Linked DNA regions of Lonchura striata. The protein of the gene in region 4 purifies or fractionates together with the protein of the main gene of each other region. This does not show direct contact. Links are inferred from orthologs where the notes say so. Each region holds a gene or a part of one and is shown on either strand. Other genes may lie near its edges.

Region 1 (8,311 bases), on a different chromosome or scaffold from region 4:
ATCGTATCATGGTGACACCAGTTTTGCGTACATATTAACTCCTTAAAGGTTATTAAGTTCTTCGTAAATAATGAGATAACTCACTTCTGTAGGCACTGGAGCAATTAAACCTGCTTTAAGGAATCAGTCAAACCAACCATCCAACAGAAGGTGGAGCAGAACCCCTTTTTCCGTATTTGGGAGAATTGTGTTAGAGCTCTTTCTCTCATTCTCTTCTATACATTATCCTCACCTTCTTTTTTCTCTAAGAAAGTAGAAATACAAATCTGTACTTCCTGTCCTCTTTTCAATGTAAAGTTTTGTATTTGTTTCCACTCATGCCCTAGAGCAGATCAGAAAGAAAAGGAAGTCTTCCATTAAGCTGAAGCTTAAGCTTACGGGATGCAGGAGCACCTATGGTAATCACCTCATCTTTATGAGGGAGAGTAAGCAAGGGACTAAAGGGAGACTGACCCACCAGCCTCAGTCCTGGCACATCAGACTGTTTCTGGGCTGCACTTGTTAGCCCAGATCACAAAGCAGATTACAAAAAAGCATTCCCCTGGGCTAACACTTTGCCCTGTCACACCACCAGTTACTGATGCCCACTGCCCTGGTGTGGCACATTCGTGATTCTCCCAGGACACTCTGAGCTCAAACATGCTACACATCCGTACACGTTCTCATAATGCACAGCAGCAGGACCAGGCAAAACGGAATCCAGCTACCCAAGTTTGCCTACTGTGGCCACATGACACTTTCATGAGAGCAGACAAGGTACACGAGCACTGGACTGGGCCAGGGCGGTGCGTTCAGGCCCGTTACACGGGATGCCACCAGCAACCTACTCTCTCCTCCCAGTGCTCCCAGCTGACAGCCAACGGCACCTAAACAGCACAGACACAACAAAGTTGGGCTCCAGCCAACATTTCAAGTGGAGCGTACAGATAGATGTTCCCACCAGGCTTTGACCAGTGAAGTACATCTCCCGCGTTACGCAAATCCTGCCCTGGCTGTTTCACAGGAGCAACAGTGATTCCAACGTGCTCAAGGCCCTCTGTGCCTGCAGCAGCTTTGCACCATGACCCAGTTACCAAATCTGGGCAGACAGCTTTCAAGGAAGCTTAGAAGGACCAGGTTGTGCCACCATCTTAGCTTCCCTTACAAAAAAGGCATTGTGGGCCACGACTTAGGTGTGGCCACCAGTATTTACTACTGTGCGCTGTGTGTGTCCAATGACACCACATCTAAGCTGGAATTTCATGGCAGCAAGTGCAGCAGATCACAAGGTTCGCAACGGATTCACAGATACTAAGTTATGGGGAAAATGGTAATTGGAAAACAAAAATCTCTACAGCCACATCTCACCCTTTTTTTTTTTTTTCTTTCAATCTATTAGCCTAATCTAGGTTTACAAAACAGTAATTTGAAATATTTGTGTTCTCCTGCCTCTGCTGATCAATAGACAGGAGGTTAACGCTGTTCAGGCGAGGGGCCACAGTTACGACATCCAACTGTCCATGCTGCAAACACAACAACAGTTTGATAGGACAAACTAAGCTACCTATTTCAAAACTGAGGGATGGCAGAAAAGTGACTTCTTCATAAGCCCCTCTGCAGCCCAGACAAAATCTTCTTTATGTTCCCAAACAAGAACAAGTCCTTTTACAGTTTATGCTCATATGATTTAAGAACTGTGCTGCTCAGAACTTCGCTGCCTACCTGAGATAGATTTAATCAAATTCCATTTTGAAGTATTTGTAATTGAAGTTTTGTTCAGTCCCCAAAGAAATCAAGACAGTTGTGTAACTATTTAATTGTTAATGTAATCACTTACAGGACATTTTCATAAGACTGTAAAGTGAACACTGGAGCTGAAAGTGAATTGTGGACACTGGATCAATTTTTAAATTTGATTTACCGCTGCTGCACACCAAAAACAGTTCTATAAACGCCACACACAACACAAACCCTATTATTTAAAAATATCAAAGGTAGTTCCACAGGGTCTTTAAATCTGCTAACTCAGACAAATGTTGTGGCTGTCACCATGAAACTACTACATGAAAGTAATTACTAGTCATGCAGTATGTCAAATTTATTTACCTGCAAACAAATACTCTTCAGCATTAAGTGTTAGTAACTCCCTTTTATAACTGTATTTTGAAATGTACGTCCCTCCTGTGGTATAAATAAAACAAACTAGCGCAAATCATTAATTTGCTTCTTACATGATAAAGGTGGTAGGAAAACAAAGCAAAACAGTTAAATATTTCCCAAAAGGGTGGCCGGGGAGGGGGGGCACACACCACCAATAAGGTGCAAGCTGTATCTGCATCACTAGCGTCCTGTCAGTAAAATAAATTGAAAGTACCAGAACGTTTATATGTTTGATTATGGGTTTTACAACGAAGCAGACACAAGTCCTACAAGTCTCTAAGAACATTTCGGCAGCTGCTTCACCTGGAGGGGTGGGGGGGAATTCGGCAGACAGCTCCCTACACCTCTGCAAAACACGACTGCAAAAAGAAAAAAAAAAAAAAAAAGAAAAAAAAAAAAAAAAGAAAAAAAAATTCAAGTCCACAAGCGCTGCACAGCCACCTACACACGCGAAATGCCCACGGAGGGAATCACAACCCCGTCGGCAAACACTCAGTGGTCCGCAAAGCGGAGCTGGGCTGAACAACGCGGCCGCAGAAGACAAGAGGAGAAAATGGGGGCGGGGGAGGTGGGAAAATGGGGGGCCCTCGGCTACTTTGCTCGCCGCTGTTTCACAAATAGCACAAACCACCCCCCAGCCGCCCCCACCGCCGCTTCCCCGGGGGATGCTCGCGCAGGGCCCGGGGCGGGGGCAGGCCCGGGAGGAGCCCCCCGCCCCGCCGCCCTCTCTCCCACCGCATCCCCGGGGAGCCAACAGCTTCCTGTCCGCCCCGGGCCGCCGGCAGGACCGACCGACCGGCCGGGGCGGCCGCAGCCCGGGCCTCCTCGCCCCCACCCCGCCTGGCCGTGCCCGGGGGCCGCGGGGGCAGCGCACACCCGGGGAAGGCGAAGGGAAAGCGGCCGCCCCCTTTCCCGGCCCTTCCCTTCCCTCCCGGCCCCGCACAATGCGGCCGCGCCGAGCAGGCCCCGGCCCCGGCGCTTCCTTCCCCCAGCCCTTCCCAGCCGGAGAGCGGGTCACTTACATGGCTGGAGCCCCGGAGGAGGCGGCGGCGGCGGCAGGGGAAGGGAGCTGGGGAGGGAGTCAGGGGAAGGGGAGGGAAGGGGGGAGCGAGCCAGCGAGCGAGCGAGCGGGGGAAGGGGGCGGCCGGCGAGGCGGGCGGGCTCTGCGGCGGGCGCCGAGCGAAGGCCTCACTGGGCTCCCGGCAGCCGCCGCCTCCTCCTCACCATCCCCGGGCGGCGGGGCGGCTCCTCCTCCCCCTCTCGCAGACGCTCGGCCCGTGGGGTTCGCACGCCCGCTCCGGCAGCCGGCTCGCCTTCCCCGCCGCTCCGCCCTGCGAGGCCGCCCCTCGCCTCTCTCCGCCGCCGCCTCCCCCCGCAGCCCCGGGCCCGCTGCCGCCGCCCGGGCCGGGCTCGTCCCGCGGCGCTCGCTCGCACCCTCCGCGGCGCGGCCGCCGGGCCCCGCCGCCGCCGCTTCCCGCCCGAGCCGAGGGGCCGCCCCGCTCGCTCAGCGCCGCTCCCCGGACGGGGCTCGCGGCCTCGCCACCCTCCGAGCTCCCGCAGCGCGGCGGAGCAGCGCCCGCCTGCCCGGCCCCTCCGCCCACCCGCCGGCCCGGCCCCAGGCCCCGGGGGCGGCGTTTCCTGGCCCCGGGCGGCTCCGTGTTCCCCCTTCCCCTGGCACCGGCCCGGCCTTGGGCCGGAGCGGTGGGGACGCTGTGCCCCGGGAGGGGAGGGACGAGGCTTCTCCTGACTCGGCCTGTGAGCCGGCTGCCTGGAGCATGGACAATTTCACAGAATCACAGAATCAATTAGGTTTGAAAAGACAGGTTAGCGAGTCCAAACTATGACCGATCGCCCCACGTCAACCAGACCATGGCGCTAAGTGCCGCTTCAGTCGTTCCTTAAACACCTCCAGGGACAGTGACTCCATCACCTCCCACTGGAATGGGCAGCCCATTCCAATGTCAAAACACCCTTCCTGTGAAGAATTTTTTGCTAATGTCCAGCCTAAACCTTTCTCGGTGCAGCATAAGACTGTGTTCTCTGGTCCTGTCATTGATTGTCCGGGAAGAGACTGAGCTCCACCTGCCTACACCCTCCTGTCAGGGAGTTCTGTAGAATTATAAGATCCTCTTTGAGCCTCCTTTTTTTCCAGGCTAAAAACCCTCAGCTCTTTCAGCTGTTCCTTGTAAGACTTTTTCTCCAGGCCCTTCACCAGATTAGTGCCCTTCTCTGGACAAAGGGCATCCCCAAAAATGAGGCATCCTGCCCCACATAGGTGAGAGGCTCAGGCAGCCCCAGCATTTTAGACTCTAGGAAGGGCCAGGCTCCTTTAAACCTCTTGGGGTGCTTCCAGCAAGCTTCCCCAAAAGCATGGGATGCCAGTTCTGCTTCTCTGCCCTCAGAGTTTTCCCTTACAGTATTCCTATAATATACCAGATGATTAAATAACGAGGTACCAGAGTACCTGGGAGGATGCTCAGTATCCCTTTCCACATTGGACAGGCTGCATTAAGGAATTGCCCATGGAGGGGCTGGGGTAGTGATTCTGGATGTTGCACTCGAGGCCATCCTGCTTTCACAGTAGGAATGGCTCAAAACATGACAAATTGCTTAAACTATTGCTTACAGCATGACAATATTTTTGGTAAGGTTTTTGAGAGCCATTCTGCTCTAAAAACAATGCTGTGGAAACCCCTATGACAGATTAACATTTCTCTGCCCTTCCACTATCAAAATTTGTCTTCTTCGGTCATTAAGAGATCTTGCTTATTCTCAAATTGACAGTGCCATAAACGTTAACTGGGTTGTAAGAACTGATTGGATTTCTTCAGAAACATACGATCACTGATGATCACATTTCTGCAATCCGAAGCTGGCTGGAATTTAGGAAACGGCACATCTTCCCACAGCTATGCACCGTTGGCAATATAAAAGTGCATAAAACGCATTTACAGCAGTAAAGCTAGGGAATACAGCTCTGCCTTTACAAACTTATTGGATATAATAAGAGGCTTTTTTACCACATCATTTTGACGATTGTAAATGTTTATTGAAATTCACTTTCTTCTTCCGTTTTGATCAGCTAGGTCTGACTGATCATATCTGTAATCAGGGTTACCGAGTGTCAAATGGATTCCTGGATTTTGGGTACGCTGGTGTGCTAGAGGAGCCAACGATAAGGCAGAGGAGAAATGTTTCCCATTTCTTCATGGAGGGTGAAGAAAGAGTAATGCCTCCTTTCCCACCAATGTACAGAGTAGTTCCTGCTGGCAGAGCAGCTACGCCAGTGTGGGATTTTCTGTGTGTCACCTTTAGGTTTACTGGGGCATATTTCAGCACAATTTTAAAAATGTACAATTCAGGTACTTTAGCAGAGTAAGCAGGCCCCGTGGTACTGGCCCAGTTACCCAGGGCAGAATTGAATGGCTGTGGGAACTCTCTAAGATGTAAAGCTAATGGAAAGGAAAAATCTGGGTTTGTGATCACATTTTGACCTACCATGCATTACTTACAAAATACGTAGTGTGTATTAAAATGTAGGTAGTCCTTAAAGATGTATTTAAAATTAAATTCATCATCAGTGTGGAAAACTTGCGGGCAGCTCAGAGGACATGTATTTTCCTTAACAAAAACACGGACAAAATTAATTTATCAACTAATTTTGAGTCTTCAGGCTGTAGTTACATCTAGAAGTAAAGAGTGCATGTAAGTATAGGAGTTCACTGGCTGTGAGACAGTGGGGGCAGGGGGATCTCTGGTAATAGATCTGATTTCAGGAGAGCTTTCTCACCTTCCTGACAAACCCTCTCCTGATTGATAAGCTCCCAGGCTTCGTGGTGAGCAAGGTCATTAGGACTTCCCCCTGCAAATGAAGCAGCAGTTTAAAAAATAAGATCACAGAGTAAACAGTTTTCTGTCCTGAAGAGAAGAAAATAAACGTCCGTTGTTTGCTAGAAAGGAAGTACAATTAAAAAAACCCTCCAGATTTCAACATGAACATATTGTTTAGATTTGCCGACTGTTGATTTACCATGATGAAAGACAGGCCCAAACTAGAAAGTTTGGATCCCGATCTGGATCTGACATTCCCCAAATCTGAGAGGGAAGTGTGATTCAGAGTCTGGAGTAAGGGCTTATCTCTCAAACACAGCAAAGTACTGTGGATAAAAATACCCAGGTAAAGTAGGAAGTGCCTGGTCTGCAACAACAAGAGTGACTTTGTATCAACAATGAACAAAAGCAGCTTTTTTTTTTTCTTTGAGAACAATGAAATCACTCAAGAATTGTTATAAATACAAACAATGTGGGTTTTATCACTCAGCTATCATCAGTGGGATTATAGTCTATAAACCCTAATTTTCAGGGAAGTCCCTAGATTCCCTGAGCGCTTCTTCAAATTTCACATCTGTTAACTCTAGTTTATTAAGTGCTTCAGGATAAGATGCATCAACTGAGCCTTGGTATTACATTACCCAAAAATACTGAATGTAGGATTTAGTGGCAAAGAATGGATGATTTCCAGACAGTGTATTGATACCACGCCAAAAGAGCAGGCACTCCTGTTCCCACCCATTTTTAACACATATATAGGTAACAATTAATTCAGTATCACTTTTAAAAATTATTTCTAAATTTTTAAATTATGAAACTTTGGATAAAAATACAGTCAGGCATTAGAAGAAAGATTAGAATGGTAAGATGAAGTGGAATTACTGAGTTAACCCCCAGTAGAACAAGCTCTGTTCCATGATTCAAGTAATGACAGCACCTCTGTGGGCCAACAGTGAATTTGTTCCTCCCTTTTTAAAAGGTGGGCTGTACTCAGAGGAAAAAACTGTATGACATCTTATTAGGATCACAGAGCTGGTATCTCAGTCTAGGCATTAATAGCTTTTAAACAAACAACACAGTTTTGGTCTCAGTGAAGAATCTAGCTCAATATAAATAGAAATTAGAAGTGCTTTTCACAGTGCCAAATATAATAAACATACTTGTGCTTCTAAAACTTAACTAATCCAATGTTTGAAGGTGTATTTCTCAATAGCAAAACAATAGCAGGCTCTCTGGAAAAAAATAATAAATATAGTCATGCTGAAACATTGTGCATTTGCTTTATAGAAATTCATCTGGAGACTAAATAGATGTATGAGTTCGTCTGTAATTCTCCAATTAATTTCCTACAAAACTGCTATCATCTGAACTGGTAACATTGCTGGAGAGCAGCACTGAATGAGGCCTTGCTGCTCTTCCTCATGGCTTGCTGAAAGTCCTAGAATAGGCTGGACAGGAGACCTTGCTGTGGTTTCCTGCCTCTGTTCCTGGGATGCTAAAGCCAGACAGCCCTAGGATGGCAGGGTGTCACTGCTGTTAACTCCCAAGTGAGAGCAGTACACTCCTCTTCACCAGGAATAATGATAGCCATGACAAGGGGCAGATATGCTGTGGGGAGTTTGATACGTAAACAGGAACCCAAGTGGTTTGCATAGAAGATTCACTAAATAAAGCATGCAAAAATAGCAGATATTCAGTTCTATGCCATACCCCACTGCAATAACCACGACTCTCAGTCTGGACTAGGCACCGTTTGGTGCTGTAGGCTCATCAGAAGACTTGGGCTTTGATCCTAAGGGACTGAAGTCTGCTTCAAACTGCTGGTTTTCTCCCTTCCTTGTAAAGTGACTTGTCATGAATTCTTAGATCAGGAAAGATACCCAAAAAAGCTAAACTCCAATGATCTGTGTGAGAGAACATCACGATCTTAACTATAGTCAGGTAGGCAAATCCTCTGAGACTGAAGTACTGACATTATAGGCACATACTAAAATAAAAGCCAAAAACTTTCAGGTTCCTGTTGCATTCCCAACACTCACACACCCAGTGCTGATTATGTTCTTCACCTAAAATTACAGAGCTAAGCACAATGTGGGCATATTAACCTGGGGGCTATTTCAGTGGTTGATTACCCCTGCAGATCCCCACATACAGATCTCTGTCAAAGGAGCAGCAGCCACTCTGCTGGATGGGCACAGGCTCAGCAGTGGGTTCTTGGAGCACTGGTTCTGGCCACATGGATCTCCAGCTGACAGGAGCACAGAGCAGCTCAGTCTTCATCATGACATTTGCAGTTTCCTAAAGAGCAAGAGTTTCAATCAAGTTTTTAAGGTTTTAAGCA
Region 2 (7,413 bases), on a different chromosome or scaffold from region 4:
TGACAATACTTGAACATAAGCTTTTCTTTTTCACTCTTTGATCCGTGGTTAATTGAATTGATTATTGCAAACTGTGTAATGATTTCCAAAATGCTGGAGTGGAAGGCGAAGATCACAACAATCTAATAACCAATTTAAAGAGATGTAAGAAATATTGAAGGAAAGATTTAATCACTCAAGTATACTCCTTCCAATTAGAAAGAGCTTTAAATAGCTTACCTTGAGATAAATTAGAGTCTGGGTGCAATTAGACAGGAATAGTAATTAAGATCAGGAAAATTCACATACGCCTCAGCCTATGGAGTGAGGGAGAACTCTGCAGCAGAACAAACTTTGCAGTTACCTTGTTTCAGCAGCAGAAAGGAAAACATCCTGCTTCAATTTACCCCAACCTTCCCAGTCCCAGGAATTCAGGAACCTCACCAGGCCGGGATCTGCAAAGCCAGGTTTCACCTTATCTGATTTTTTTTTTTTTCCCCTCCACAGAACAAACAAAAATGGGGGCAAAAAAGGCTGAAAGGCCCTCGCTTGTGGTAAGGAAATAAATTAGAGGAAAGGCAATTTCATGATTAAAACGCCATGAAAAATTGTGGCAAGTAAGACTGACCACTGTTTTTCTGAGGGAGCAACAACTTTAATTTTCCTTTGGCGATAGCACCCATCATATCACATTCCCTAATTTCCACATGTCACATTCCCTAATTTCCCCATACATAGCCCCAGGGTTCTCTGCACAGGAAGGCAACAAAGTTTTAGAAACTTGAGTAAGTTTTTCTAACAAACTTTTTCTGGCCAGGCAAAAGAGTCCCTGCCCAAGTATTACAGTTGATTTTAGTTTTTTAAAGTCACTAAATCTGAAATCAATCCCATTTGCTAATTAATCAGAGGAGAACCGTGCAAGGTTTTACCTAAGAAAATAATTAAAGGAATTCACTGGTCATTCTTCAAAGAGCAGAGTCTTAATCACAAACCGTCCCTTAGCTACTTTCAACTCCCAAAAAAAAGAACTTAAAAGCACGTTTTCTGGGGATTTACTCCTTTTTAAAAAATCCCCAGTGTCCCCAGCCACGATGTCAGAGCTTTCCACATTTTTCTGAGGAGCTCCTGCAGCACCTGAGAGCCTGGAGAGCTGCAGGGTGACAGCTCCCAGCCCAAGCAGGAGATTCTGTGTCCCCTCTCCTTCCTGACGGAGCGGCTCCCACCCACGCAGCTTTTTAATTCTGTACAGTCTAAAGACAAAAAAAAAACAAACAAAAAAAAATCAGAATGTCCTGAGGTCTTCCAAGCATGAATTTATGAAGTAATTACTTTTTTGTTAAGCAAACTGCCAAGCTCCCGTGGCTGCAGAAAAAAAAAATGCCCAACTTTTCACTGCCATCCTCCAGTCCCTGCCTGCAAGTACCACTCCAGCCGCAACCTGAGCAGAAAACTGAAACTGAGAATAAAACAGCAACTTTGGCATTCACCCTCCACATCCCTGAGGCAGCAACAGCACTTTACGAAACATAAATTTTAAAAACTCTGATTTTTCTCTACCGGTTCTCGAGAAGGAGACTTCTAACAGTGATCAATGAAGGGGTTTGGAATGACTTTATTCCCTATCTCCCATCTCTTTGAACTCCCTTTGAGTCACTCTTGCTAATAAAGGCATCACGTAAAGCCAAGCTGGCTGCTGTGCACCACCAAACTCTCGCTGCTACTTACCAAAACACACTATTCCATTTGCCACGCTAAAATTGACAAAAACTTGAGCACTGGAATCACATCTTAACCCTCTGATCTCGTTATGTGGGAAGCAGAGCTTGAAAAGAAAAAAGGCTTAAGGACTACACAGCTCAAGCAATACAATGTGGTCTGAAGACACGCAGAAAAACGAAGGCCAGAGGAGGATTTAAAGGAGGATCTGAAGGGTCCTGACCCACACAAGTCAGAACACACCGAAGATTTAATATTTCTTAACCCGCTGACAGCTCCTTAAGCATCTAAAAACGAAAGCGCACGGTACCTTTGATAGTCAGAAAACCGAGATCTACCAAACCTCTAGGAAAAGACCAAATATTTCCTTAGTCATACCCGAGCCATTCCGTAGTTTATGTTACACGTTTAACACGCCTGTGCCCGTACCCATTTCAGACCCACCTGATTCCAGCCCTTCACTCCGCGAACTTTACAGGAGGAGGAGGAGGAGGCAGGAGCCCTCCCGGTGAATAAGGAGCCTGTGAAAAGTGCGAGGAAACTCCGCAACTTTTCACACCCTGCAGGGTGTGCGGGGCACAAAGTTTCGGGGGGGTCTTTCCCTGGGATTTTCGGGTGGGTGCCTACCACCCTCTACCCTGCCACCGCTCTTCCTCAAAATCGCTTTAGGAAAGCCCAAGTTCCGCGTCGGGCAGAGCGGGAGGAGCTCCTTCCCTCCGGGCTGAGCGCCCGAAAAATCCCCCCAAATCCCCCCCGAAACCGCCCCGGGCGGAGCGGCCGCCGGCCGGGCGGCTCGGAGCGCCCCGTCCCCCCGCGTTCCGCAGCATGACAGGGACCGCCGCCAGCTCAGCGCCGCGGAACTCCTCCACATCTGCCTGTGACGTTCTTTATTTACCGGCGGGCCGCGCCGCCGCCGCTGTCACCGCCGCTGCCGCTCCCGCCGGACTCCCCTCGCAAACTTCGCGGGGCGCCGCGGCGCCGTCCCCCCCGCCGGCCCCCACACCCCGCGGGGGGCTCCCCGCGGCCGCCGCCCTCACCCGCGGCGGCGCCGCCCGGCCCGGCGGCCGCGGAGCGGAGCCGCCCGCGCTGCCCCGGCTGCCGGCGGGGCCGCCCGGCGGAGCGCGGCCGGCGGAGTGTGTGTGTGGGGGGGTGCGGCGAGAGGAGGCAGCTCCGCGCTGCGCTCCGCACCCACCCCGCCTCTCAACCCGCGCTGCCAGCGCGGCCCCGCCGCGGCCGCTCCGGCGCGGCTCATCCCGCCGCGGGCCGCCGCCGGCCGCGGCCCCGGCGGCGCCGCGGGGGGACGCGGAGAGCTGCGCTTTACCTTTAGTTCCGCACTGTCCGCCATCTTGCGACTCCGCGCGCAGGCGCAGTGAACCCCGCCGGGACGCCGCCGCCCCGCCGCCGCCGCCCCGCCCGCCCGCAGCGCGCAGCGTTTGAATCGCGGCGCCATTTTGTGCCTCCTCCGGCCGCGCCGCTCCGCGCCCTCACGCCGGGGCTGCCGCTTCGCCGCGGCTCCCGGGGCCGCCCCGCGGGGCTGGAGCCTCGCCCTGCCCGTCAGCTTCGCCCTGCCCGTAGAGCTTCGCCCTGCCCGTAGAGCTTCGCCCTGCCCGTCGAGTTTGGCGCTGGTGGCGGCGCTCCGTGAGGGGAGCGCGTCCCTGCGGGCGCCCCGGCTGCTCCCCTCAGCCCCGCGGCGCCACAGGCAGCGCCTTCCTCCGGTGGTAAATGCGGTTATTAACACGGGACCGTGCAGCTGCGGTGCGTGAAACAACGCCGATCACCGCGTTTTTAACAGTTTTAGAAGTTTGGTCATAATAAAATTATTATTAAAATAGTAATATAATTAAAGTGTGAAAAACGCTTGGTTTTTAAGATTTTTTAGAAGTTTAATAATAATAAAATTATTATTAAAATAGTAATGTGATTAGAGTGTGAAAAAACGCCAATCACCTGTTTTTTTTAATTTTTTAGTTTAGTAATAATAAAATGATTATTAAAATAGTAATATAATTAAAGTGTGAAAAACGCTTGGTTTTTAAGATTTTTTAGAAGTTTAATAATAATAAAATTATTATTAAAATAGTAATGTGATTAGAGTGTGAAAAAACGCCAATCACCTGGTTTTTTGAATTTTTATGTTTAGTAATAATAAAATGATTATTAACATAGTAATATAATTAAAGTGTGAAAACTGCTTGGTTTTAAAGATTTTTTGAAGTTTAATAATAATAAAATTATTATTAAAATAGTAATGTGATTAGAGTGTGAAAAAACGCCAATCGCTTGGTTTTTAAATTTTTTTTTAAGTATAGTAATAATAAAATCATTATTAAAATAGTAATATAATTAGAGTGCGAAAAACGCCAATCACTTGGTTTTTAAAATCTTTTAGAACTTCAGTAATAATAAAATTATTATTAAAAAAAAATTATTAGAGTAATAAAATTTAGAGTTAGGACAAATGCAAGACAATAAAAAGCAAAGAATTACGGATGTCTGGATGCTCTCGGACACTAAGTCACAAAAAAGCAGACTTTGTGAACAAAGGAATAACCATAAAAGCAACAGCCTGTTGCATATTCATGTATCTCATACATGATGCATAAATTCTTTGCAAATTAAGAACTTTTCTCCTTAAGGTGGAAGAATGTTTGTTTTTTTCTGAGAAGGAGGAACTTTGTATGGGCCCCCTTCGCTGCCATCTCTGTGTGAAGAGTTTCTCGATTATCTCATCCTCCTGCTTGAGCTTGTAACAAATCCTGTATCACAGAGTTTCTATTTTAACATTGTGTTGTAACCTAAAACTGTATTTAACACGCCACTTAAGAGAATTAATACAGCAGAACTTCCTAATGTTACACATATAATATTCATTGTAACATTTGCGAGAAGCCAATCATAAAATACACATTTTTCACAGATTTTTGCTACTTAATGCACAGGTTTGAGACCTCTAGGAGTGGAAAGGGATGAGGCCGGGGTACCTCAGTGGACACCAGCTCCTGGTGTGCACCAAGCTGGAAATTATCAGTTTTTCAGGAAATTACAAGTTTTATTTCAGGGAATTTAAAGTAACAACAGATTTGAGGTCCAAATGCACCCATTTCATGTCAGTTTTGAGTGAAATTTGTGTTCTTCCAACAGCAAGCCAGAGGGGAAAATACCTACCAAAATCCTGCCTGGCAAGATGATGCATCAGTTGTGAATTTGGGAGGATTAAACGTTAGTGTTCAGGTCATTATAGCTTGATTCAGCTTCTTTCTACCTGGGTGTTATTCCCCAAATATTGATCACCATGACAATTTCTCTCCTTGGCCTTCACCTTAATGCACAGAACGGAACAAAGAACAAAATTTCCACTTTTTCCATAGCTGCCGTAAAATCCATCATCCTCCATTCCCAAAGCACTTAGAGGATGGGCACTGAAAATAAAATAAAGATTTCATGTCCCAACTCTGCAGATTCAAGCAAGGAGTGCAGGGAACCTGGGGTAATTACAGAATCAAAATTTATAACATTTGCCTCAGAGGGTTACCCAGGATTTAAAATTAAGTGGTTTGTGTTGAGGGAAGAATGGGAGAGAGGTGTCAAAAGTGTTTAAGGAGCTTTTTGATGCAATGCTGTTTATTGGTAAGAATATTTATGTGCAGTCCTGAGGAAAACAACTCCTAGTAAAGCAGGGATGAGAATGGAATGGTATCAGGATGTGTCACATTCCATCAATCCATGACAAAACTGTATGGATTTTGACCAAGGTGGACAGGTCACGTATACTTAACCTAGAAAGAGAACACATATAAATTATATGAGCATACATAAATAGATGAACATATATAAAAATAAATATATGAACGTATATATAAATGATACGTGATTTTTGATGGCATCATGTTTATGGTGAGCATATATAAAGTCCTGATACGCCCAGCAAAGCAAACAACTCATATCTCTTTCCAAACTTTCCATTTCCAAGCGTTTCACCCAGAAACATCCTCCAGACTGGCAGAAAATCGGGGGAGCTGACACCCCTCTTTCTTCATGCCTCATCCCAACTCCATCGGTGGCCCCGCTCTCCTGGATCCTGCCACACTCAGGAAACGAGCAGCAATTAGAGGAGGCTGATGAGCACACCCGGACAATCCTGCGTGCAATGAAGATTTCTCTCCGCGTCTGAAAGGCTGGTTTGGGGAGGGGGCAGGGTGAGACAGCTAAAAAAAAATAAAATCAGATGACTCCAGCACGCCCACAGCTCCCAGAATTAGCCCATCTATTTCAGTGGTCTGAGGCAGCCCAGTGCAGAACCCTTAATTTGAAATTATTAAATACGTGTCATAATCGTCATCTAACATGATCAATGAGTTCATGGCGAGCTGAAAGAATTCGGCCTTAAAGCTCTGTAATTGTGTGGAGAAAAATCCTTGCTTTATTTCAATTACTTTTGATTTTTTTCCCCCCCTGAATGAGGCTGCTGCACAGCCAAACAGCTTTTCCTCTGCTTCTCCACTTCCTACCAAATTCAGTGGGATGTGGACGTGTGCTCCGAGTGTTTTGCTAAATCATGGCACAACACTATCAAACTTGACACGTGGCCATAAACCACAGCGTCCTCTCTCAAAACTGCCTTCAAATAAAACAGCCCCAGAATGGCTTCGGCTGCATTAAAATAAGGAAGCGAACTAAAAAAGGGGATACAGAAAATCGGGTTTAAAATGCTCCTGCCGGTGTTTTTTACAGCCAAACCTCGCCCAGGCTCTTCATTTTTTTTTTTTCAGTTTGGGCTTTTTGATAGTCACTCCCTTTTCAGTGCAGAATATACTGGAGGATGGAGAAGGAACTTAATGAGAAAAACAATCTGCGCTTCTATTTTTAGGCCATTATTTACATGTAGTGAAATTTTGTTCCTCTCTGCTCCCGAGGCTCGGCTGATGGTTTATTGCCAAAAAAAGCCTTTGTCAACACTCAGTCATTTCCAGAGGTGCTCGCAGTGGCTCCAGCTGTGGCAGTCATGGCAGCACTCAGATCTTAAAAATTAAATTAAAATTAAATCTTCAATTTTTCTCTCCATTTCCAAAAGAAAATACTGGGATGCAGCTGGAGTAAGGGAGAACAGCCCCAAACAATCCTCAGGTTGTCTTGCTTCTGAGCTAAAGCTAATATTTTTTTGAGCTTTGACCTCTGCGGAGAGAGAAAATGAAAGATCAAGATTTCCCTCAAACCTCCACAATTTTGATATTTTCAATTCCCAATTTTCCAAAGTTGTGTTTCCCCCTTTTGGCCGCATCGCAGTAAAATAAATGACTTGAGAATTTGTCTCTTACCCCCCCATTTCTTTTATTCTCCTCTTCTGTAACTTCCCCAAAAACGTATCGTGTCACATAACTCACATGCTCAAAGCCATGTTCAGACACAATAATATTTTTAAAGATATGCATTTTTTTCTGTGAACATGTTGTTTTCATTAGTCCGAGTAGCCAAGAGTTTCTCCTCTTTGTCTAATAATCCAAATTTGCTCTTTGCCTAAAAGTAACACAAGGGCATTTCTGAGCCTGAATAAAACTGATTTAATGATAGACTCTCAGCTATTATTTCTTGATAGAAAACACGACCAAGCCACTAAAATACCTTTACTGCTGAGGCTGTTGCAGGCATGAAATGTGTGAAACACCCTTTTCTGAGGGACAGAAAGAGAAATATTTTAGTGAAAACTACTTGGCTAAAGGA
Region 3 (8,266 bases), on a different chromosome or scaffold from region 4:
ATTTATTTTAACACTTTTTGTACCAATTGACACTTCTTTTTCCTTTGCCAGGGAATATGGTGCCCATACTCAACCTTTAAAAGCCCAAGATGGATTGTGATAGTGCTATATTTGTGCCTTGGAGCAACAAAAACCACGTTATGACTAGTGTTGCAAAAGGATGTACCATTGCAAAGTGTCTTAAACAGCTGGAAATCCTTGTGGGCAGCCATAGGCTTCTCTAGATTAAATCTAGGCTTCTCCAGATCCTATCTATATAGCAATATTAAAGCTATGACAGATGCCAGAAAAAGAAAAAAATAAATATGTATGTAGTGATATGTGCATTAATTTACCTTCCTTTGTAGACTACAGCTCCCTTTTGTAAAGTATGCATCTTTCCAAAGTAGAGAGAAAAAGGAATCCTGTCTGTAGCCTGCCCTCTCACACCAGTCAGTGTTGGTGTTTGGGTCTGGAGGGTGTTTGCTTCCCCTCCAGCATCAGCATCAATCAGCTTCCTTGGAGATCTCCAGCACCAGCAGATAGTGAGGCAGAGCACTAACCCGAAAGCCTGCAGATGCACTGTCTGTATATGGGTCAGGATCTATGGGATAAATGAATTGTCTGGCTCTTAATATCCAGGATTTTTACCTGGAAATGTAGCAGTGTTATTTTTGTGCTTTAGAGTTGTTAACCCTGTTTGTGCATATGGCAAGGGGGTGGGTTTCTCACTTAGCTACTGAATTTCTTGCTTTGACCAGCTCACCTAACAGCTGCCTTTGCACTTTGATATTAAAAGACTGTGGCCACTGTAAGAACCCATTCCCTGAGTCCCTGTCAAAGACAACTAAGCCTCTATGCATCTGCCATACCTGCTTTGTGGCAGTCTTATCACACCCCAGCCTTACAGTTCCTTAGGGACTAATTGGATAATAAACATGCTGAACCCAAGCTCTGGAGGCTCTGTGTAAACTGATACACCAGGCTGGGAAATGCCACCACAGGAAAAGGTCAGTCTTCCTGTTTGCTCCCATATGAAGCAAAGGGCCACATTCAACAGAGACATTTCCCAGGAAGCAGAGCTGCCCCAAGCTGTTGCAGATGTCTGCTGTGAGGTACGTGAGCCAGAGTCTTTAGGTTGCAGAAGCAGAAAATTTGCTTTGTCTCAACAGCTTTGTTATAGGAAAAGGAAAGTGAAAAGGAATAAGGAAGAAAGTACTACACATCTAAGTTGTGGAGAAAGCAGATTCATGCCTTAAAGACTTAAGGAGAACAACTTAAAGTTACTGAAAGAAATCTGAGCACAAATTTTAAAATTGCATAGAAGAGAAATCATCCTTCTATTCACTGTGTTCAATTAGCAGACTATTCAGGAAAGAAGGAAATTGAGGTAAAAGCAGAAGTTGCAATGTCAAACCAATCTTACTGCTTGGGATCAATTGCAGAGCTTAGTGGGGTTAACTATTAGATGAAGAATGTCAGACTGACCTGTATGTTGAGGATACTGTGCTTGACACTATCTGGCAGACACATGCCAGCTCCCACACATGGTAGCACTAAGTTTAGTAAGTTGGTTGAGATTTGTAGTACAAAGTATGTGAATGTTGAGATTAATGCAAGTTCAGTTAAAGTTGAAAGAAAACTAATGGGCTTATTAAATTCTCATTAATACTAAAATTGAAGACTTCTGCTCAGATAAATTCATTATTGAGAAAAGCACTAAAAATGTACCAATCATTTTGTCCATTTCAAGAGAATCTTTCCTTCTCCTCTATCAGAATTAAGACATTTCTCTGTAAATTCAGTTTGCATTTCTGGATCAGTTTATTTTCCCTATTCATTTAATGAATTAATGTCAAAACTGGCAACACCAACCTCCAAGCACATACAAATAAATGACAAATAAACCTCTTTCTTTGCATAGTGATTGTTGGCAAATCACCACTGAATGAGACTGACAAGTTTTTAACCAAGCAATTCTAATAAATTCAGCTATCTCTCTTCCCATCTTTAGACCACACCTTTGGCCCCATACCCAATGCAAAGCTAAACAGCAGAAAAAGCAAACCAGACAAACCAACTGACCATAAAAAGGGGAAAAAAAACCCTTAGAAGTCAAATGTAATCCAAAGTTTTCTGTGATGCTTGGGCTTGCAGAAGACAAAAACTGAATAATTGGCCCACCAGAGATGGTGGCCAATTATAACATATTTCATGTCTATATTTGCATTTGCTTTATTTACCTGACAAATGTCCCAGACTCTCTGGACTGCAGGTTCAATAAAGCTCTCCTTGTGATACCTCACAGTGTGGATGGACATAAAATTGCAGCATTTAAACTACAGTGAGCTCAGTGTGACAAGTCAGCATTTGGTCCTGAGTCTCCTCTTTACAGTAAGTGTGATCAGCCCTTACATCAGGAGCTGTCGGAGCATTAAACTCCAGTTTTGTCTGAATACCAGCTAATCCAGCATGGGTGGAAAACAGGAATGTGCTGGTCCTGCATCAATTCTTCTCATTCCACTGTCAACTTCCGTTTTTCTTTTTTTTCTTTTTGCAAAATCCTAGAAAGAAGTTGTTTATTCAGTTTGCCCATCATAGGGCAGTTTCATAATCAGAGAGAAAAGTTCTCCTTGAAAGTGATCACCAAGGCTGTGCTATCTCTCCAAACCCAGGGTCGCCCGCATCGTTCCGTGTCCCACCTGTCTTTCCCATGCGACACCTTCCAGAAAGCCAGAAGGGAGGAGCCCCTGCTCCCAGCAGCCTTGTGTGGGCCAACACAAGGCACAAAGCAGACAGTGCCATCCCTGGAAGAGCAGATAAGGGTAGATGGATGGTTTAGGAGCTCCTATATTGCATTGCTGACCATCAAAGGAAAAAATTTAAAACATAGTTGTGGGCTGATGCTGCCCTACCACGTTGATATGCTGCTGCTCTTCTGTCACTACCACTTGAAAGTATCATAGGGAATGCAACAGTTCTCGAGAGTGGGAAAGATCATGGTAAAGACATTAGACACTCGTTATCACCAAACTTTTCAAAGAGGAATGGCAGTGGGAAGGCCCTTCTGTAAAGAAGCTGTATTAACTACATACCTGACATCCAGAAGAGGCTGAACTACATGATTTACAGTGACTCTTTTGGTTACGTATTCCTGCAACTGTCCCTAGGGCTGTCATCTGTGTTAGTAACTCTGTTGACAAACAAACTCCTGCCTCGGGCCTTCCTGAACACAAAAAAATGCCCACATATCCAGCACTAAATATTCCATAGACAAAGGTATTTCCAACGCCTTGAAGTCCCACCCTGCTCTCAGAATCAATAGCATCAGCAGGTTTTCAAGGCTCATAATGCCCAGAGAGCTCAGGCAGTGACAGGATCATGGTGTGGCACTGATCGGACTGCCCAGATAGCTTGGCAGGTGACAGAGTTACTGTGTGGCACTGATCACAGCCCCCAAACAGATGGACCAGCATCAATGTGTGGCATCAACCCTAGTGCCCAGAGAGGTGAAGCAGAAACAGGGCTACATTGTGGCAGTGATTGAAGTGTCTAGGGAGCACAGGAATCTACAAAGTTGATTCTTGGGAATTATCATAGCGCCCAGAGATCTCAGGCAGTGACAAAGACATGATGTGGCATGGATCATAGCGCACAGAGATCTCGGGCAGTGACAGATTCTCTTGCGGCACCAATCAGGGTGCCTAGAGAGCTGAGGAAGAGACAAAGTCACTTGTTGGCAATTATCATAGTGCCCAGAGAGCTGAGGCAATGATGGAGCCACCGTGTGACACCGATCACAATTTTCAGAGAGCTCAGACAGGGACATATTCTCTGCTGGCACTGATTGTAGTTCCTGGAAGACTGGAGCAGTGCCAGAGTCAAGACATAGCACAGATCAGAGTGCCCAGAGCTAAGGCAGTGACAGAGTCATATTGTGGCATTGACGGGATCGCCCAGATAGATCAACAGGTGACAGAGTTACGGTGTGGCACCTATTGCAATCCCCAAAGAGATGGAGCAGCAGCAGTATCAAGATGTGACACTGATCGTAGTCCCCAGAGAGCTGTAGAAGCAACAAAGTCACTTGGCAATTATCGTAGTGCCCATAGAGCTGAGGCAGTGGCAGAACCATTGTGTGGCACCGACTGCAGTGCCCAGAAAGCTTAGGCAGGGACAGATTCTCTGCCAGCACTGATCGCAGTGCCCGGAGGGCTGGAGCAGTGACAGAATCACGGTGTAGCACGGATCAGAGTGCCCAGAGAGCTCAACAGGTAATAGAGCCACTGTGTGGCACGGATTGGAGTGCCCAAGCATCTCGAGCAATGACAGTCACCATGCAGCAGTGATCGCAATGCTCAGAAAGCTCAGACAGTGAGAGAGCCATGGTGTGGCACCGATTGGGCTGCCCAGATAGCTCAACAGGTGACAAGAGTTATGGTGTGGCACCCATCGCAGCTCCCAAAGAGATGGAGCAGCGGCAGAGTCAAGATGCGACGCTGTTTATAGTGCCCTGAAGGTTGAGGCAGTGACAGGGCCACAGGGTAGGAGCAACTGGTGTGCTCAGACAGCTCAGGAATCCACGAAGTCACTTCTTGGGAAAAATATAGTGTCCTCACAGAGCTGAGGCAGGGATAGAGCCTGTGCGCCACCAATTGCAGTGCCCAGAGAGCCCGGGCAGGAACAGATTCTGTGGCGGCACCGCTCGCATTTCCTAGAGCACTAAAGCGCTTAATGCAGTCAGTGGGCGGCACCCGCGCCGCTTCGAGCCTTCCGAGCCGCCTCCTTCGCTCCGCCTCCTCCGGGACCGAGGCATAATTGAAGGGGCGCTGGGGCGAACCCCATTGCCAGCGGCCCCCGGAGAAGCGGCAGGACTCTCAGAGGCCAGAGCACGGTAAGGCAGGAGCGCGGAGCGGGGGCAGCGCAGTGTCCAGAGAGCTCAGGCAGGGACAAAGTCACGTTGTGGCACCGATCGCACTGCCCAGAGAGTTCGAGCAGCGACACAGACACACGGTGGCTGACGGAGTCAGGCTATGCCACCGATCAGTTTGCACAGAGAGCTCGAGCTAGTGCCACAGTCATCGTGTGCCACCGATCACTGTGCACAGACAGGTCGACAGACGACAGAGGTACCGTGTGGCACAGATGGCAGTGCCCAGACAGCTCGGCAGGTGACAGAGGCAGGGTGTTGCAGCGATCGTACTTACCGGAGAGCTCGACAGGTGACAGTCACGGCGTGGCAATGATCGTAATACATAGAGAGCTCAGGCCGTGACACATTCTCTTGTGGCACCGATCGCAGTGCTCAGAGCTCAGGCACTGAAAGATTCTCTGCAGACACCGATCGTAGTGCCCGGAGGGCCGGAGCAGCGACAGAGTCACGGTGTAGCACGGCTCGGAGTGCCCAGAGAGCTGAGGCAGCGATAGAACCATCGTGTGGCACCGACCGCATTGCTCAGCGAGCTCAGGCAGGGACAAAGCCAAGGTGTGGCTCGTGGATCGTAGCGCCCAGAGATCTCAGGCAGTGAGAGATTTTTCTGGCGGCACCGATCAGGGTGCCCACAGAGCTGAGGAAGCGACACAGTCACTTCTAGGCAAGTATGGTAGTGCCCAGAGAGGCGAGGCAGCGATAGAGCCGCCGTGTGGCGCCGGTCGCAGAGAGCTCGGGCACTTTAAGGAGTCACTGGGCGGCACCCGCGCCGCTTCGAGCCTTCCGAGCCGCCTCCTTCGCTCCGCGTCATCCTGCTCCGGGACCGAGGCATAATTTAAGGGGCGCTGGGGGCGAGCCCCATTGCCAGCGGCCCCCGGAGAAGCGGCAGGACTCTCAGAGGCCAGAGCACGGTAAGGCAGGAACTCCGGAGAGGGGGCAGCTGGACGAGGCCGCGCTGCTGCACCGAAACCGAAACCACGGTGGCGACCCCGCGAGCGAGGGTGCGAAGGGGGGTGACGTTCCGAGGTGAGATGGCCGGCGGCGGTGTTAGCGCCCCGTCCCATCCCGCAGCGCTGCGGAGGGGCTCCTGGGCACGGCGAGCGGGAAGCGCTGGGCGAGGGCGCGGTACGTAGAGAGGAGGCGGCCGCGGCGGCAGGAAGCCGGCGGGAGGAGAAGGGCGATAAGGCAGATGGGCCGACGAGGAACTAGGCCAGAGCAGCCCCGCGTTAGCGCGTCCCGGCTGCCGCCCAGCAGGCGCTTTTGGCCGCGCGAGTGGCAGCGCCCGCGGCGCCCGTCTCCGACAGCTACGGCCCGGCGCCGCAGCCGAGACAGCCTTTCCCGATCCCCATATGGAATGCACACTTTTGTGTCCAGAACCGACTGCAACACCTTTGCACGGGTACTGGCTACTGCACAGATCCCATCCTTTCCTCTTCCCACGCTGCCTCTGCTCCTGTGAAAATTTGTGTTGCATAACACCTTTGTTTCCCTTGTATTGGCTTCTCCTCCCTTTCCCACGGGTTCCTGTGTAACTTGTTGACGATCTGACACAGGTATTGTCTTTGCTATTTCCAAGAGGAAAAAAAAGTGGGGGGGAAATCATTCCTTAGTGAAAAGATGCATCAGCTGAAAAATCTGAGCAGAAGGGAAAGGTTTAGATGGAGTGGGTTATGACATTTACAGCAACAGATCTGAGATACCCTGTTTTGAAACATCATTGACAGAGGCAATATTTTTGTTATCAGCTATAGCAACCCTTCTATTTGTCTCCTGTTGGTCATTTGGGAATACCAACTTTGGCTTCTGTTCTTTATTCCGTTCCATTACTGACTAATAACTCAGTGGCCGCTGAGTTTTGCTGCTTGTAAAGGTGCTAATTTTCTCCAATTAAAGTTTAACACCTCTTAGAAACTTAGGTGCTGGAAGCATCATTAAACTACAAAGGTTCCATGTTTTTTCATATTACTGTGCTAATGTGCTCAGTGCTCCTCCTTAACCAGGCAGGCAGGTCACATCATTACAGATTAGAATTTGCATCAGATCAGATGCAGTTAAAACTGAGCAAAGCACTTTTGAACAGTGATTAGGAATATGACATGATGACCTAATGTCCAGGTTATGATTCTTGTGAATTTATATGCCCTTTAGGCATTAGAGGAGAGGACATAACCATGGTGTTAAAAAGAAAAATGCCACAAACCCATTTAGCACAGTTCTATCCTCTTCTGAAGAACACCAGTCATATTGTTGGACATAACTTCCTCTCTTCTAGCAAATGGTATTCAAAATTTTCATAACACATGTTGGTACTTGGTAAATATGAACCCAACCGAATACAAATGTTCAAATAGTATACAGGAAGAACTGCTTTAAAATTAATCAAGTATACAGATGACAGCTACTTCACAGAACATAAATTAACCACTAGAAGTATGCATACCTTTTGTAAGGGCTGGCTAAATTAAACTACAAAATTTTTATTATCTTAACCACAGATACATAATGCATTAATTGGTGTGTCCTTAGTATTGAGAATACGTATCAATTACCCTGTATTTCAAAGAAGGTTGGGGTGACCCTGAGTCTTTGAGCTTCCATCCTTGTTTTTTTATAATTTGACATTTCAAGCTATCATAAGCCAATATCTCATGTTAAATAGAATAAGTAGTCTTTGCTTTAAAGCCTGGCTAGACATTGTTTTCCTGTGATACTCATTCTTTGAAAAGTTCCCCAAAACACTGGGTTTGAAATAAGTAATTAGATAGAGAGCTTCTATTCAGAGTACCTCATTACTTAATAAGAACACCAAAAAAAAGCAGTAGCATTTTTCCATGCGCAAGGGGGAAGGTTCCCTCCCATCTAATAAAAAAACTTCCCTCTTCTTGAATGTTACACAGCTCACTTCAACAGACATTACAATTTTAAGTTATTATTTCTTTTGAATTTCCAAGACTTTTGGTCATAGTGACTGCATGTAGCTTGATTGGAAGCAACAGGTAATTAACATTGTAAATAGGAACAAGGTTCTGCATTTGTTGCAGTTTTGGGCAGAGATATTTTTTGCCAGGTTATATGGTACTGATTGCCAGTCCCAAGCTATCAAGTGATATCAATGCAACTTTAGAGATTCACCATTCAAAAGTACACATCTTCACACACAAGTCTTATAACTACTACCTAGATGCTTAATTGCTGTTAGCATGGAAAAATTAATATACATAAGTGACTTCAAACTTATTCTTGGAAGGGACACCCAGATAAAGAAGCATGATGTTAGTTTATGCCATGTTTGACTCTCATGACTGAATTTATGCCCTTGTACATGTGACATCCACCCTATCTGCACAAAAGTCAGTA
Region 4 (7,385 bases):
AAAGCCTTCTAATGGCATTTGGCTTTATGGGCTAACTCACTCAAATGTTTTCAACCTCTGATGTGTCTGTGACACGTTAACATCTCTAAGAAATAAAGCTCTTCTTTTGGCATTGGCTGGCAAATGAAAATATTTTAATAATCCATAAAACCAGGCAATTCTGAATGTTCAGCATAAGGCTGAATAGGAGAGCATAATCATTTGGGGCTGCTCTCCCTGAAGTTTTTCCCTGACTGTAGCAGGTGCATTACTAGGAGGACAGGTCATTCTGTTCCAGGGAGCTTTGGAGTGCCCATCCCTGGAGGTGTCCCAGGAAGGGCTGGAAGTGGCACTCAGTGCTCTGGGCTGGGGACAGGGTGGGCACTGGGCACAGGGTGGGCTGTCAGGGATTTTCCAACCTAAACGATTCTGGAAAAAACCAAATTCTTGTATATCCTGTCACATTCTGTGATGCAGTTCTAACTGAACATCTCATTCACTTTTCATTTCCTGAACAGGAAGAACCAGCTTGTCAGTTTTTCTTTGACTTGAACAAGCATCAGGGAAAGAAACGTCCCTCAGAGAGGAAAGAGGGAGGGGACTCCCAACCTAAGCAAGCCAAGAAACCCCGTAAGTATGAGGATGCTTTTTTCCTGAGCTCTTCCCTCGAGGCCTTGGATGGACCACATCACTCCAAGTTGTTCCTCAAGCTGTTGAGCTGTCGGTGTCAGCTGGCCAGAGAGCTCTGTCACTGCCAGCTGCTGGGGGAATGCAGGAAGATGAAGGATCCCTCTTTTCCAAGGGAAGATTGGCTTCAGTAGGTGAAAGAAGGGTCAAGAGTGTAGTTTCAAGGCTCTTTGGGTCTGTGGTGGTTGTGGTTGGGCTGATGGCATTTACCCTCTGAACCAGATATGGCACTTCCAAAAAGCTCAGCTCAGGTATCACAGTTTGGGTGTGAATCCAGGTGTTTTGGGTGTGATGGATAGACCAGAACTGACAAGTGTGTTTGACAGCATCTGCCCTTGTCTTTACCTGTGCAGTAATTTTACCTCATTTTGATTTGTTTGCTTATCATTTGCTGGTGTTTTCTTATTAGTGAGCTGCAGCTATTAACTCCTGGAACTACTAAGCTCCTCCTTCATTAGGTTACAGCATTCCAGGAGAATGGCAGTCAGCATGGTCTGACTGCCACTACCTCCTTTCTTGCTGGAATTTCCCTGGCCAGAGCTGTGTCCTTCTGACACCTTCAGCACTTTATAAACTGGGAAGGGTGTCTGGAAAATACCAGGTTGTCTGTGTTGTGACAAATATCCCTTCTGCTAATCCTTGATTTCTTTCCCAACAAAGCTCAGCCCACGGGGCCCTGCTGGTTCTGCCTGGCCAGCCCAGAGGTGGAGAAGCACTTGGTTGTCAGTATTGGCACACATGTAAGTACCTGCAGCATGGGCTTTGCTAGGTCAGAATCATGCTAAGAGATGGCAAAACAAAATAACAATCTCCGATTTTAAACATAAAACAAACTTTATTTGCAGCTGGCTCTTGGGTTTGCCTTCAGTTCCTTTGCATCTCCTCTACAAGCACATAAGCTTTTAAAAAAAAGTGAAGTGTGGCCCAGTTTTGTTCCAGCAGCAGAGCTGGATTCCAGTGCCAGAATATTTTTTCCTGTCCCAGCCCTCTCTTACCATCTGGCAAAACTTTTCCAGCTGGAAAAAAGCTGGAACTTGCTTTGGGAGCAGGATGCACCAGTGCCAGATCTCTCTGGGGTGGCTGGTTACAGTTTTGTTCTATAGAGATGAAAAAGGTGTCCAAGATGTACTTCAAGATGTTGACTTTGAAGCTCAGTCCATCATTGTTATATGCACTTTCTGCTCCTGTATAGCATAATCCACTTACAGGGACAGGTTTGTCCACAGGTTTAGTTCAAATTTTTAAGTGGATTTTTGTGTCAGAATAAGAAATTCCTGCCTCACTGGTGAAGTTCACTCAGCAGCTTCCCTGCAAAGAAAACATTCCTCTGGCATTCAAAAGATTTTTTTTTTTTGTCATTTGGCAGTCTCTTTGCCTCTTTCTCATTCTTCTAGTGATTAATAAATTCAGTGTAAAAATAAAATAAAATGGCTAATAAAGAATCCATAATAAGCAAGATAAAAGACTCTCCTTTACTTGTGGCTACTCAGACTGAGTAGTCAGAGGGTGAATTCCTACAGCACAGTGAGTAACTGGTGTGTGTTGTTTCACTCTAGTGCTACCTTGCCCTGGCCAAAGGGGGTTTGTCTCCTGACCACGTCCTCATTTTGCCAATTGGGCACTATCAGTCAGTGGTGGACTTGTCTTCAGAGGTGCTGGAAGAAGTGACCAAGTACAAGGCTGCTCTAAAGGAATTTTTCAGAAGCAAGGGAAAGAGATATGTCCTATTTGAAAGAAACTATAGGAGTCAGCATCTGCAGCTACAGGTATGGTTTGGGTGTTGCTCTGGGAAAACATAAACTTGCACTGAATATAAACTCCAGATGAACACAAAGAGTAATTTTGGGGTTTATCATGGTGGTTTCTGTGTGTGCAGGTCTGTAAGTGTATCAGAGCTGTATCAGAACTACCACAGAGATGAGAAAGGAGAGGGCTGTGCTGAGAACTTTCAAGCCTGGGGTTTTCAGCTCTGTCCAGCTCCTACAGGGTAAAATGTCTCATAAGTTTAAGCCTGTAGAGATGGGTGCTCCCCTATCTTGTGTGATGAGGCTGAGCTGTACTGAGGAGCCCATGAGCTCCAGTGATGGACTGATGGCTTTCTGCAAATTCATTGTCTCGTCTTCTTTTATGGAAATGTCCTCCCTCTCCAGGTCATCCCTGTCCCACTGGACCTCTGTACATCTGAAGACATCAAGGAGGCCTTTATTACACAAGCACAGGAGCAGCAGATTGAGCTGTTAGAAATCCCAGAGCACTCTGATATCGCGCAGGTATGGGGCCAGATTTCACCTCTTTGCTCCCCCTGTGTCCTGCCTAAGCTGTTTCCCTCTGAGGTCACTGTGTGGGGTGGGGCCAAGCTGTTGGAGGCAGAACCTCATCGACTTGGTTTGGGGATGTACCAGGATTCTGCTCTGGGAGAAGTTCCCAGGTTCAACAGATGATTTCTCAGCTAAGAAATGTGAGCATGGCCTCATCCTCCAAAAATTGTATGTAGTAGGCTGGGTGACCTAGATGAGGTTAGGAACAACGAGACCTGCCTGGTTCTCATGTAGTCACTCACGGCAGAATTAAACCACAAAATGTCATAGGTGATCCCACCAGGAAGTGACCCACTGCTCCTTCCTCCCATGGAAGGTATTGTTGGAGGTGAGGCACTGACCTCAGGCAGTTTATGGGGTTATTTTTCCAAATTTCCTCCCAGAAGAGAGCATGGCATAGCTGAAGTGGCCGGGAGGAGGGTCTGCCTGTCACCTGCTCTCAGAAGGGTGGCCAGGAAGGGGCTGCCTGGGGCGGTGGTGGAGTCGCCACCCTGGAGGTGTTTAGGGTGCAGAGTGGGCGTGGCAGCGCCGTGGTCCAGCTAAAGGGCGGTGGTGGGTCCCAGGCTGGGCTCGATGGAGGTGTTTCCCAGCCGCGCTGATCCTGTGCTTCCGTGGTTCCCTCGGCACAGGTGGCTCAGCCGGGGACGCCGTACTTCTACGTGGAGCTGGACTCGGGGGAGAAGCTGTTCCACCGCATCCGCGGCCGCTTCCCGCTGCAGTTCGGCAGGTGCGCGCCGGCCCGCCCGCTCCCGCCGTGACGTCACGGCGGCGGGCGCTGACGTCACGGCGCTGTCGTTGCAGGGAGGTGCTGGCGAGCGAGGCGCTGCTGGCGCAGCCGCAGCGCGCGGACTGGCGGCAGTGCGCCGCCCCGCGGCCCGAGGAGACGGCGCAGGCGCGCGCCTTCCGCCGCGACTTCCAGCCCTTCGACTTCTCCCTCCGCGACTGAGGCGGCGCTGCGCGCGCTGCCGGCGCCGGCCGGTGACGCGGCAGTGAGGGCGGAGTGCCGGAGCGAGCGGCTGAGCCATGGAGCGGGCCGGCCCCCCCGCGCCCGCCGCCGGCGAGCGGGCCCCCGCCGGGGCGGCGCTGCGCGGCCACCCGGCCGGCGGCTGCGGGCCCTGGGAGATGCGCGACCGCCTGGGCACCGGCGGCTTCGGCAACGTGTGCCTGTACCAGCACCAGGTGGGGCCGGGCCGGGCGGCGGGGGGGGCACGGCCGGGCCGGGGCGGCTGACGGCGCTGTGTCCCGCAGGACTCGGGCGACCGCGTGGCCATCAAGTCGTGCCGGCTGGAGCTCAGCGTCAAGAACAAGGACCGCTGGTGCCACGAGATCGACATCATGAAGAAGTGAGTGCGGGCCGGCTGGCACGGCTCGGCTCGGCTCGGCACGGCGGCAGCGACAGGGAGAGGGGCCAGCCGGGGGTCAGGCCATGGACTAGCGGGCAGTGCGGGGAGTCAGCCCCGGACCGGCTGCGGAGATGGGACCGCGCTGTGGGGACAGCCGGGGGTCAGCCCCTGGGCCTCTTGTCACCTGGCATGCCTGTGCTGCTTTATCCCTCATCCCAGTGCCCCAGCTCCTGCCTTGGCCTGGGAGCTGGTGATCCCCAAGCCCCCTGCCCTGTTGTGCCACCTGGGCTATTCACCCATCGAAATTCCTCCAAACTCACACCACCCTGTGGGTTGAGTTCTGATGTTGTGATTTGGGAACGCCCACATGTTCCCATACCGTGCGGTACTTTTGGTTTTGATTTAGCAACCAGGGGATCCTGGAATTGCTTTTTTTTCTGTCACGCTGCCGAATGTAAAGAATAAATTCTCCTTCCACTTCCTTGTGAGAAAGTCCATGCTATGTGCTGCCCAGCCTCCCTCTCCAGTGGGTGAAACAGGGCTGGACAGCTTTGGTCTCATGGATGTGGGGGCTGCCTCTGGGTGTTTGGGTCTCACAGAACTGCTCCTGAGAGAGAAAGAGAGATCTTGGAGCAGGAAATCCTCTGTCCCACTGGTGGGAGCAGGGATGCTCTGAGTTGTCCTCCCCAAGGCCTGCAGTGACCCTGGTGTTCAGGGCTTTTCTGAGCTCCTGCTGTCGCTTTGTTACCCTCACCTGCTCACTGTGTGCCATGACGTGGGAAACCACTTGCAGGGAACACGAATTTTTAAGTCAAAGCTTGGGTGATGTTTGATTTGGGTGCTGGAAACAACCACTGAGTTATGAGCTGCTCTTGCATTGGTGTCCAGAGGCTTTGGAAGATGTAGAGGGGAATAATTTGCTTTCATTTCCATCTGGATATATTAATTCCCAAGACTAGCGTGTATTAGAGACAGTCAGGAAGTAGCTGTTTCTGTAGCTGGAATTCAGCTGCAGAAGTTAATTTTTCCCTCTGAATGTGGCTTTCACCTGCCTGGTGCAGTTACACAGGTGTTATGGGGTTTTTGTGAAATGACTGGGCTAGGGGAGTCTGTTCCTACATACACACACACACATGTAATGACACTGCCAGGATGGTGCAAGAATTCACAGCTTGAGTTTGGATCCCCATCACCAAAGTCCTGCACCTTGCATTTGAGACATCAGTTCTGCTCGTCACTGGTTTGTGTATTCCCAAGGTATGGGTTTTATGCATTTGGGTACGGTAGGTACCAGCTGATGAGTGAGTAAGGATTCCTGTGGGGAACAGAAGCTGTCCCTGGAACATAAAACGTGGTTACATTGCAAGCTGTTGTCTCATTCTCCCAAGAGAATTTTCATCCAGCTCTCTGTGTGCTTAGGCTGAACCATCCCAATGTGGTCAGAGCCTGTGAAGTTCCTGAGGAGATGAACTTCCTGGTGAACGACGTTCCTCTCCTGGCCATGGAGTATTGCTCGGGGGGCGACCTCCGCAAGGTAATGCCTGCTTGGCTTTCAGTAAAAACCAGATACCACTAACCCAAACAGGGCGTGGTAGCGCTGCTCCTGTCACCAGGCCTGCTCTGTGGAGCTTCTCTCTTTGGGTATGATGTCTAGAACAGAGTTAAAGAATAAAGCAGGGATTTATTAAAAGGATCTCCTCAATGGATCCACCTTGGGCAGCACAGGACCCCAGCCAGGGCTGCACACCAAGATGAACCAAAATGGTCACAAAATGCACAACTGCTCTCGGGGTCTCTCACTTTTAGTTCTGCTCCATTTGCGTATTAGAGTTAATTATCCAATTACAGCTCCAGCCCATGAAGTCCCATCCTGCTAGTTTTTCTCTCTTCAGCCCACATTGTTTGTGCTCTTGGGCCTGAGATTTGGATCACTTGTCCTTGGTCCCCAGCTAGAGAAGGAATTGTTTTGTCTCCCTGTTCTGTGCAGAGAGCTCACCATCCCATAATGTGAAGCTCAAACCCACACCCTAAAGCAGCAGAGAATCTAAAAAATATAAAAGCTAAACCCTGAGGCATCAGGTACACGTGTGAGGAAGTTAATGTAGAGTGGGAAAAAAAATGTGTGTGGGAAACGAGGCTTGTGTTTTTGAAAGCAGAGGGCAAGCCAAGGGCAGATACTCTTTTATCCTGGTGTGTCCTTTCGTGGAGCTGCTTTAGCATTAGTGCAGCTGCTGCCACCCAGCAGGTTTGGCTTTGCTGCTGTGTCTCCATCTGTTCAGAGTCTGACTGGTTGGGATTCATGTGTATCCAGTGTTATGTTGCAGTCAGCATGGGGAGTGAGCCTATTTCTGCTGGACTGGGACCTCCAGGGATTCTGAAGCTTTGCTATTCCTGTTGAACTGGGAACTGCCAATCTGCACACTGGCAACACCCAAAAATAAAGGAGCCTTTCAGTAGTTCTCCAGGCAGTGGCTTGGTGACCTGGTAGAGTTTGTGCTCCCCTTCCATTACAGCTGGATTCAGGAAGCAGCAATTTCTAGAGGGGTGAAGCAGCAAATCCCCATCAGGATTTGCTTAGAAATCACCTGGGGAACAGCTCTGGGGAACGTCAGCCAGTGGTGAATGCAGTAATCCCATCTCTTTATATGGTTTTGAGTTGTTAAAAACAGTCCAAGAAACACTGTTAAGGTTTAAGTCGCAGTAAAAGAAGGAGCATATATACAAAAGCATTTGAGGTTTGCAGAAACAGGCACCTGGCCACTGTCCCAGAGACATCTGGCTGTTGTATTAGTGCAGTAAAAGTTTGGAGACTCCCTGAAGGCAGATTAGAGACCCTGGCTGAGAAATTAGCTCTACTTGCAATGCAGTGTTTGGTCACTTCATTTGTGATGAATCCTTAGGTGTGGCATACATGCTGAAATAATTCAGGAAGTAACATACTTCATTTCATGTGATGTTCTGTACTGCTTTAAAAATAACCATAATCTGTTTTATTTCTGCTTGTGTTCTTTAAATCTTACTCTTGTTTGACATAATTTGTGTTTCACTTCATTAATTT

The links.
Region 1: the proteins of CHUK (region 4) and AKT1 purify together in Homo sapiens (affinity purification with western blotting; 5 studies listed by BioGRID). This does not show direct contact. The link is inferred for Lonchura striata from reciprocal best matches to the Homo sapiens genes CHUK and AKT1.
Region 2: the proteins of CHUK (region 4) and PIAS1 purify together in Homo sapiens (affinity purification with western blotting; 3 studies listed by BioGRID). This does not show direct contact. The link is inferred for Lonchura striata from reciprocal best matches to the Homo sapiens genes CHUK and PIAS1.
Region 3: the proteins of CHUK (region 4) and RIPK1 purify together in Homo sapiens (affinity purification with western blotting; 3 studies listed by BioGRID, with this or other methods). This does not show direct contact. The link is inferred for Lonchura striata from reciprocal best matches to the Homo sapiens genes CHUK and RIPK1.

The regions. Positions count from the first base shown.
Region 1 is NC_134608.1:8,656,785-8,665,095, reverse strand, and holds the start of AKT1 (RAC-alpha serine/threonine-protein kinase), read right to left. Parts: upstream 3,262-8,311; 5' UTR 3,162-3,261; intron 2,462-3,161; exon of another isoform or gene 2,443-2,461; intron 1-2,442. UniProt on the Homo sapiens protein: AKT1 is one of 3 closely related serine/threonine-protein kinases (AKT1, AKT2 and AKT3) called the AKT kinase, and which regulate many processes including metabolism, proliferation, cell survival, growth and angiogenesis.
Region 2 is NC_134613.1:23,417,448-23,424,860, reverse strand, and holds the start of PIAS1 (E3 SUMO-protein ligase PIAS1), read right to left. Parts: upstream 3,146-7,413; coding exon 3,017-3,145; intron 1-3,016. UniProt on the Homo sapiens protein: Functions as an E3-type small ubiquitin-like modifier (SUMO) ligase, stabilizing the interaction between UBE2I and the substrate, and as a SUMO-tethering factor. Catalyzes sumoylation of various proteins, such as CEBPB, MRE11, MTA1, PTK2 and PML.
Region 3 is NC_134603.1:94,905,290-94,913,555, reverse strand, and holds the start of RIPK1 (receptor-interacting serine/threonine-protein kinase 1), read left to right. Parts: upstream 1-4,792; 5' UTR 4,793-4,873; intron 4,874-5,661; exon of another isoform or gene 5,662-8,266. UniProt on the Homo sapiens protein: Serine-threonine kinase which is a key regulator of TNF-mediated apoptosis, necroptosis and inflammatory pathways.
Region 4 is NC_134609.1:37,312,504-37,319,888, forward strand, and holds the start of CHUK (inhibitor of nuclear factor kappa-B kinase subunit alpha), read left to right. Parts: upstream 1-4,033; 5' UTR 4,034-4,106; coding exon 4,107-4,163; intron 4,164-4,232; coding exon 4,233-4,327; intron 4,328-5,746; coding exon 5,747-5,861; intron 5,862-7,385. Other genes in the region: CWF19L1 (CWF19-like protein 1), read left to right, coding at 498-609, 1,327-1,406, 2,223-2,432, 2,817-2,936, 3,614-3,711, 3,786-3,930.